2 linked regions of the Caenorhabditis elegans genome follow. The protein of the gene in region 1 interacts with the protein of each later gene in a pairwise test. Each region holds a gene or a part of one and is shown in the gene's direction. Other genes may lie near its edges.

Evidence for each region.
Region 2: the proteins of lap-1 (region 1) and lbp-6 interact in a two-hybrid assay, tested with the Caenorhabditis elegans proteins (one study listed by BioGRID).

The regions. Positions count from the first base shown.
Region 1 is NC_003281.10:8,398,521-8,403,915, reverse strand, and holds lap-1 (Leucine aminopeptidase 1), read left to right. Parts: upstream 1-1,987; 5' UTR 1,988-2,006; coding exon 2,007-2,148; intron 2,149-2,799; coding exon 2,800-3,119; intron 3,120-3,466; coding exon 3,467-3,815; intron 3,816-3,860; coding exon 3,861-3,990; intron 3,991-4,036; coding exon 4,037-4,259; intron 4,260-4,306; coding exon 4,307-4,618; 3' UTR 4,619-4,724; downstream 4,725-5,395. Other genes in the region: ubxn-4 (UBX domain-containing protein 4), read left to right, coding at 3-92; cutc-1 (Copper homeostasis protein cutC homolog), read left to right, coding at 309-625, 958-1,393; ZK353.2 (uncharacterized protein), read right to left, coding at 4,780-4,870, 4,937-5,026, 5,074-5,192. UniProt on the Caenorhabditis elegans protein: Probably acts as a digestive enzyme.
Region 2 is NC_003279.8:6,727,796-6,731,332, reverse strand, and holds lbp-6 (Fatty acid-binding protein homolog 6), read left to right. Parts: upstream 1-1,956; 5' UTR 1,957-1,966; coding exon 1,967-2,173; intron 2,174-2,727; coding exon 2,728-2,928; 3' UTR 2,929-3,037; downstream 3,038-3,537. Other genes in the region: lbp-5 (Fatty acid-binding protein homolog 5), read left to right, coding at 1-3; ant-1.2 (ADP/ATP translocase), read left to right, coding at 374-1,276; mec-6 (Mechanosensory abnormality protein 6), read right to left, coding at 3,292-3,450.

The DNA.
Region 1 (5,395 bases):
AGCGTGGAAACGTCGCAGGGCTTGAAAATCCGAATGAAGACGATCCTGAAGAGCGAGCCAGTTTCAATGGAAATTCTACTCAGTTCATGTAATAATGTAAATTTCTTGTCGCCTGTGATTCCAACACCAAAAGTTCATCGCCATGGATAATTTATTTTTTGCTCGTTTATAATTCGAATCGAATAAAAGTTTTCATTTATCCCAGATATGTTCAGTTTTCTTGCTGAGTTTTCGGATTTTAAACCATAACTTTATACCTATTCTTTACAATGTTAAAAACATATTTTCTCAAACTCTATTGTGTTAAGATGACAGAAACAGAATCCCAGAAGCAAATAAAACTGGAAATATGCATCGATAATCTGGAATCTGCGGAAAATGCTGTTGCCGGTGGAGCTGATCGATTGGAAGTTTGCTCAGCTTTACAACTCGGAGGGCTCACTCCATCCGTCGGATTTGTGTCTATTCTGAGCTACAAGTATCCCGATATTCCACTTTATTGTATGATTCGCCAACGGGCAGGCGATTTTGTGTATAATGAAGACGAAATGGCAGCGAATATGGAAGACGTTGAATGGCTCAAAAAAGCTGGTGCCACAGGATTCGTTTTTGGAGCATTAACATCGTAAGTCGGAGAGTTTTAAATTGAATGAAACAAATAAATATATTATAATTTTATTTCCAACATGTTTAAATGAAAAAAGAAAAACATATTCTTGTTTCATTTCGAATTTTTCACCATTTTCCGCAAATAAATTCTCAATCAAGTTTATCAATAAAAATTTTACATAACATTTAAATAATTATTTTTAGGCTGACTTAATTTTTGAACAATGCGGAAAGCTTGTTTTTAAAAAACATTTAAAATGCATAGACATGCGGCAAAATTACGAAAGAAGTTTTGTAATTATAACGGTTGATTGCTCTGGATGATCCACAAAAAATTTCAATTTTCAGAGCCGGTTCATTGGATCGTACATCATGTCAATCAATAATTGAAACTGCCCGTCCACATCCTGTCACATTTCATCGAGCAATTGACGTCGCCTATGACTGGAAAACTTGTCTTGAGGACGCTATTGATGTTGGATTCAAAGCTGTTTTGACAAGTGGACAAGAGCCGTCAGCACTCGACGGAGTTTATATCATTCGAGAAATGCAAGAACTTCACAAAGGAAAGATCGATGTTCTCGCAGGTTGTGGTGTGAACAGTTCGAATGTCGCGAATCTTGTCGAATGGACTAAATGTCACTGGTATCATGCTTCAGCTTCTGTTGCCAAGAAAAATGCTCCATTGAATAAGGTGTCAATGGGAAAACAGGACAATCAGCCATCACGTGTCACTTCTTTGGAAGAAGTACGGATGTTGAAAGCGACATTGGCCCCCGTTTAATTATGTTCAATTCTTTTTCATGTCATATTCCAGTCTATATTGCATGCTTCATCATAGTTTCTAACATTTTCATTGTGTTTTGCAATTAGTTGGCTAGAATTTTTCTGTACCGAAAGTTATTTATTAATTTTAGAAGCTCACTAATCAATTAGATATTCGAAGTAGCATGTTTTTTTACTCTACGGGATTGTGAGGGTTATCAATTTATTTATGCCTAGGCAACTTTAATATAGGAGTTGATTTGAACTTAATTAAAATTTTAAATTTCGCTCCTCATTATTTCACAACCTCTCAAATTTTAGACCACGAATGTATGCAAACACGCGCCCTGAAGATTTGTTCCTTCTCTCAATTTCTCATTTTTTTGCTCTACATTTTCTCTCGCCATTTTTTATCATCCTTTTCTCGCATTTATGTTTCTCTGGTCACTCTTTCTCTACCTGCTGGAGGAACTGATAAACGGTTTATTTGAGTAATAATTTTTACACCTTTTTTCTAAAAAGAGTTTGCCTTTTTTAGTCTGAATACTATAGTTTATACTTTCCAACTTTGTTTTTTTTTAATTCAAAAGGTTTTCAAAGTTTCTAATTTCAGTGATTAGTGTCACCTAAAAATGACACAAGTCCTCGTTCGTAACGGGATTCAAGCTGTTGGAGATGGCCTGACTAGCCTAATCATTGTTGGAAAGAAGAGTGTCTTGAAAAATGTGACTTTCGAAGGAAAATTCAAAGAAGTCGCACAAAAGTTTGTTACAGGTTCGGTTTTGGTAGATTACACAAACGCGATGTTTTTTGATTTTTGTCCAAAATTACGGTACATGGTCACTTTCGTTTAAAAAAATTCATATATATCTAGAGATATCTATATACATACTAAATATTAAACATATATTAAATAAAAACACATACATTTTAACAAAGCGCGGAAGAGACTATGGAAACATACCCGTGCGGCATTTGGTTTCGGCATTTGAACAAAATGCACTTTTTCATAAATATGAAAATACGTATATGTATGAAATAGCATACGATGAGAAGCCTGACTCTTAGGCTTGTCACCAGTCAAAAAAATTTCAAAAAAAGTTTACCCCTGCTCGAGATATGCACCCAAATGCCGTATGGCGAATGCCGTATGCCGTATGCCGTATGACGTATTTTCATATTTATGAAAAAGTGCATTTTGTTCAAATGCCGAAACCAAATGCCGCACAGGTATGTATGGAAAATCATGAACCATTCAGAATAAATGAGATTTTGAAATTACAGTACTCTAAAAGACCCACACCTCCCTGTAGTTTACAAAAATGTCTCTTGTCGAGACCTGGTACCGTATGGTTGGTGTAAAGAGAACAACATTTTGCATCTGCAGATGGTTCATACTTTTCCATAATATAAAAATAATTTCAGATGGCGACTCATGGAACTCTATGATTTCTCGAATCCCCGCCTCAGGACGTCATCCTCTTCACTACGAGCTGGCTCATTTGATCACTGTCCCAGATGCCTCTTCACGTGGAAATACCCCCACTAATGCTCATTCGATATATAAGGAGTTAAAACCAATCAACTATCCTGAGGATACAAAGAATGTTCATTTTGTGCTGTTTGCTGAATATCCAGATGTTCTTTCTCACGTTGCGGCTATTGCTCGGACCTTCTGCAAGTTCTCGATGAAAACTTCAGGAATTCGTGAACTGAATGTGAATATCGATGTGGTTTGCGACAAGGTATGTGACAACTATCCTTCATTTTGATATATTGATCTGTATAGTTTTATCATCACTGATAGACAGCAGACACCATGTGCTTGCTTCTATTTGCAAAGTCAGCCTGGAGACTATTCTTTTCTGGAATTGTGTGCTGATAATGTAGAAATACGATAAGAGTTTATTGCGTAGTGTGACGAAATTAAAAAAGAGGAACTAGTAGAATCATTTGATAGCTTCTGCAAAATTCGGCGGTCTTCATGAACTTCCGTTGATAAGAAAGTTATGTGTCCTTCAAGATCTCAATCTCAAAATCCGAATTAATTGTTTTGTTTTAATTGAAAAACAAACATTCAATTTCTTTGCAGCTCACCAACGAGGATGCAGTTTTCCTTACTGATCTCTCAGAATCGGTCCGTGAAACCGCAAGACTCATCGATACTCCAGCCAATATCCTGACTACTGATGCTCTTGTTGATGAAGCAGTCAAAGTTGGAAATGCGACTGGATCAAAAATAACAGTGATCCGTGGGGAAGAACTGTTGAAGGCTGGATTTGGCGGAATCTATCACGTCGGAAAAGCTGGTCCAACACCACCTGCGTTTGTTGTCTTGTCCCATGAGGTTCCTGGATCGACGGAGCACATTGCACTTGTCGGAAAAGGAGTTGTATACGACACTGGAGGCTTGCAAATTAAGACCAAGACTGGAATGCCAAGTATGAAAAACTTCAATTATTATTTATGAAAATGGATTTTTTCAGATATGAAAAGAGATATGGGAGGTGCCGCTGGAATGCTTGAAGCTTACTCTGCTCTTGTCAAACACGGTTTTTCACAAACTCTCCATGCTTGTCTCTGTATTGTTGAGAATAATGTCAGCCCAATTGCAAAGTATATTTAACTTCAATTCAATTTTACTTTATGATTTAATTTCCAGCAAGCCTGATGATATTATCAAAATGTTGAGTGGAAAGACCGTCGAAATCAACAATACTGACGCAGAAGGTCGTTTGATTCTTGCTGACGGAGTTTTCTATGCAAAAGAGACTCTCAAAGCAACAACTATATTCGATATGGCTACTCTGACCGGTGCACAAGCGTGGCTTTCAGGACGTCTTCACGGAGCTGCTATGACAAATGATGAACAGTTGGAGAACGAAGTTGGTCATTCATTAAAAGAATAACAATTTAATTTTTACATTCTTAGATCATCAAAGCTGGAAAGGCTTCAGGAGACTTGGTTGCCCCAATGCTTTTTGCCCCGGATCTTTTCTTTGGTGACTTGAAATCTTCTATTGCTGACATGAAAAATTCGAATCTCGGAAAAATGGATGGACCACCATCTGCAGTCGCTGGCCTCTTTATTGGTGCTCACATTGGTTTTGGCGAAGGACTACGTTGGCTTCATCTTGATATCGCTGCTCCCGCTGAAGTTGGAGATCGTGGTACAGGATATGGTCCAGCTCTTTTCTCGACTCTTCTTGGAAAGTACACTTCAGTGCCTATGCTCAAACAGTAATTGTCCCGTATTCAATGATTTCAATATACGTCATGTTTATTTCTGTGTATTATGTCTGGGTTTTTACTTATTTTATTTTTAAACTGCATATAAATGGTGAGGTAAATACATATCGAAACCTTCAAAATCACAATTAATAAGTTGATTGTCAAACATTGGAATTATTCACGATTACGAGCTGACCACACACATCCGGCTAGACAAGCACAAAGACATACGAAGAATCCAATTATGAATATGACAAGAAATACTCTGAAATTCAATCAAAAATAAGTGTTCTTGCATTTCTGAAAACTTTTTAAAAACAGTTAAACTCACACAACCCATGTCTCCAATTGTATACAACATTCATAAGGACTGTAGTCACAACAACGCCAACGATAAAACACATTATCTGCTCCACATCTTCTGGAATAACGAAGAGTTGAACAATGATCTACTCAAAATAAACAAACCCATAACCTCCATATCCACCATATCCACCGTATCCTCCAGCCATTCCACCAGCCATTCCAAGAACTGATCCAAGTATTCCACCACCACAATTACCGTATCCACCATATCCGTATGACATTGTTTTTTATTCTGAGAAAAAAAGATTTTGAAAGGAACAGTAACCTGTAAAACTAGTGGACATGGAGACGAGAGTACAAAAATAGAACATTATGTAACATTTTTCGTAAAGTTTGAAATTTAGACAGTAAATCTCGATGGGACCCAAATATTACACATTTAACAGATGCAAAATTTAGCGTAATTTGCGCTATAGGTGTACGG
Region 2 (3,537 bases), on another chromosome or scaffold:
TAGATTATTTTGAATATTGTTCTTGTTTTGTTCGGTCTTTGATGCAATAAATAGCGAAAAATAGTGTTTTTGTTTACGCAGAGTGACGTTTTAAAGGACCAGAAACCCTTTTCTTTTCTCTGTCTCTGTTAAAAAAGGCCTTGTTTATTTTCCGTAAAATTTTTCATTAGTTTCAACAATTTTTAAAGAAACACTTTTGTTTTAGATTTTTCTTTTTTTTTAAATTAATTTTATTCTTTATATTGATTAGACTTTCATGACCAAAATTTTGAGAAGAGTCTAGTGAGCTCCTTCCTACTCGCATTTGAAGAAAGTTTTATTATCAGCATTCAGGAAATATAATCTCTGAAAAAAAACATTCCAGAAGGACAAAATGACCACAAAGGAAGGATTTGATTATCGAAAGTTTCTTGTTGATCTCGCCTCCGGAGGCACTGCTGCAGCAATCTCAAAAACTGCCGTTGCTCCAATTGAACGTGTAAAGCTTCTACTTCAAGTCAGTGATGTCTCTGAAACAGTAACTGCCGATAAAAAATATAAAGGAATTATGGATGTTCTTGCTAGAGTGCCAAAAGAACAAGGATATGCAGCATTTTGGAGAGGAAACCTTGCAAATGTGCTTCGATATTTTCCAACGCAAGCGCTGAATTTTGCATTCAAAGACACTTATAAGAAGATGTTTCAAGAAGGAATTGACAAGAATAAAGAATTCTGGAAATTCTTTGCTGGAAATCTCGCTTCTGGTGGAGCAGCTGGTGCAACATCTCTATGCTTCGTGTACCCACTGGATTTTGTGCGTACTCGTCTTGGAGCCGATGTTGGAAAAGGAGTGGATAGAGAGTTTCAAGGTCTAACGGATTGTTTTGTGAAAATTGTGAAATCAGATGGACCAATTGGTCTTTATAGAGGATTTTTTGTTTCAGTACAAGGAATTATAATTTATCGTGCAGCATATTTCGGAATGTTTGATACTGCCAAAACATTGTACTCAACTGACGGGCAAAAACTCAATTTCTTTACGACATGGGCAATTGCTCAAGTTGGAACAGTTGGTTCTGGATATTTATCATATCCATGGGATACAGTACGTCGTCGAATGATGATGCAATCAGGGAGAAAGGATATTCTCTATAAAAACACTTTGGATTGTGTTAGAAAGATTGTGAAGAATGAAGGAATTACTGCATTATACAAAGGAGGTCTTTCAAATGTATTCCGAGCAACTGGAGGTGCTCTTGTGCTCACAATTTATGATGAGATTCAACATTTAATTTAATTACAGAATTAAAGTATGTATATGTTAATTTTGAAACAACATTGCCAATAAATTTTTTTGTTTAAAATGCATTTTTACTTTATTTTAAAAAAAAGAAGATTGTTTAAGTTTCACAATTTGAAAATGGGCTTCTATATATGTACAAGATACTAGTTTTTTACCTCAAAAAAAAATAAATTTAAAAAAAATTAAAACTTAGATATACTTTAATCAAAAACGATATTTTCCTCCTCAGAAATTTCAGAATTTTTTTGATAATATTTTTGTTTTTATTCGACTGAAAATTCCTCACTTTTCCTCTTTTCTATTTTTATTTTTCAAAAATGATGCAACGAATCAAAAAATGAATCATTCTTCAAAAAAAAACGAAACGAAAAATAGAGGAGACAGAAATAGAGAAAACGTTTTGAATCTCCGCCCACTCTTGCCCCCTATCATTCCATTTATCAGACCACCTAAATACGAATGATTTCCCAAGGCATTGCCATTCGTTTTCTTGTTGATTTGCAACTTTTCTTTTATTTCCATTTGCAAGTGATATGATAGTTCATCTTCTAAAATTAATTTTTAAAATAAGATTTTTTAACCATAATTTCAGACTAACGTTTTATTCAGACCTATTACATATCCGTTAATCTATTGAACTTTTTACCTGCTTTTCCAACTTCTTCTATTTACAGAACCATCACCATGTCTCAAGAATTCGTTGGACGCTGGAAGCTCATTCACTCAGAGAACTTCGAGGAGTACATGAAGGAGGTTGGAGTTGGATTGATCACTCGTAAGGCTGCTGCCAACTTGAAGCCAACTTTGGAAATCAAGGTCGAAGGAGATTTGTGGTATTCCAACCAATACTCCACATTCAAGAACACCACTCTTTCTTTCAAGTTGGGACAGGTAAGAAAGTGCAAAGTTTTTTACTTACAAAAGACAAAAATAATGTTATCAAAAAAAATGTGGGTTTTCTGATTCCAAATTTGCGACAAAAAAGTTACATAAAAATAAAGAAACGCACTACAAATTTATGAATAAAAATTGTTACTTCCATATTCACAGACAAAAAGTCTTAAAATTCCAGGTGATAACATTTCAAACCATAAATCATAAAATGATCATTGATTTCTTGTTATAAGACTTTGATAAACAATATGTATTTCCCATAGTTTTCGTGTTTTTTCATGCACGAATAATATTTTTTTAAAGCCATGAGAAACAATATCTGATTTCAAAATGCACGTTCGTTGATATCGGCAATTGTGGACAAAGTTTAGCGACTTTCTGCCCACAATTTGCTGTGAGCAAATTCCTGCCAACATTTTATCCTATCCATTTGAGCTTTTGGTTTGAGCAAGTTATCCCCAAATTCCAAGTAATTGTATCCAATAAAAATTGTTTCAACCCTGAAATTGAACTAGCATTCTTCAGACTTATATTTAATGTTTTTATCCCAGGAATTCGATGAGACCACTCCAGATGGCCGTACCGTCAAGTCAGTTGTCAACTTCGAGAACGGAAAATTCATTCACATTCAAAAGAAGATCAAGGACTCTGATAAGGAATCAATTATCACCCGTTGGCTCGAAGGAGACAAGCTTATCACTACTCTTGAATCTGGATCCGTTGTTTCTCGCCGCGAGTACGTTCGCGAATAGATTCTCAATTCCCAACATGAGCTTTGTTCTTGTCTTCCTGTGATATTTAATAGTAAATATTGAAATTTAAAGTATTACAATTATTTCTTTATGGCAATAAATGAGAAATATATTATCAGACTTCGAATCAAGACACTAAGAATGACTAATTGTGACGAGAAATTAGTTAATTTGAAAGCTGCTAAATTCTCATAAATCGACTTTCCTCTAAAACGCTGGAAGGCTATTGAAAAGGGGTGGAGGCGTGGCGCCCCCGTTACGCCTCGACAAGTTTATAAATAAATCTAGATACAATGTCTACAACACATCTGTTTCTAGATCATATTCATCGGTTTATTTTTTAAATAAGCTCTAAAAGTTTGACTATGTAATATATGAATGCGTAAGATCACAATGAAGAAGTCTTCCAAATGAACTTCCAATTAACATTTGTTCATCAGTGAATACAACTGATGAACTCGCCGAAATAGTTGCTCCATCGTTTGCATACGGTTCAGTTGTTACCCAAGAGTTGCCTTCTTCCTGAAACAAATGCGATTTTTGATTTTTTGACGCTTTTTCGCATTGATTAGTATTTGAATGAATTGATAAAAAACGTGGAAACAGAGT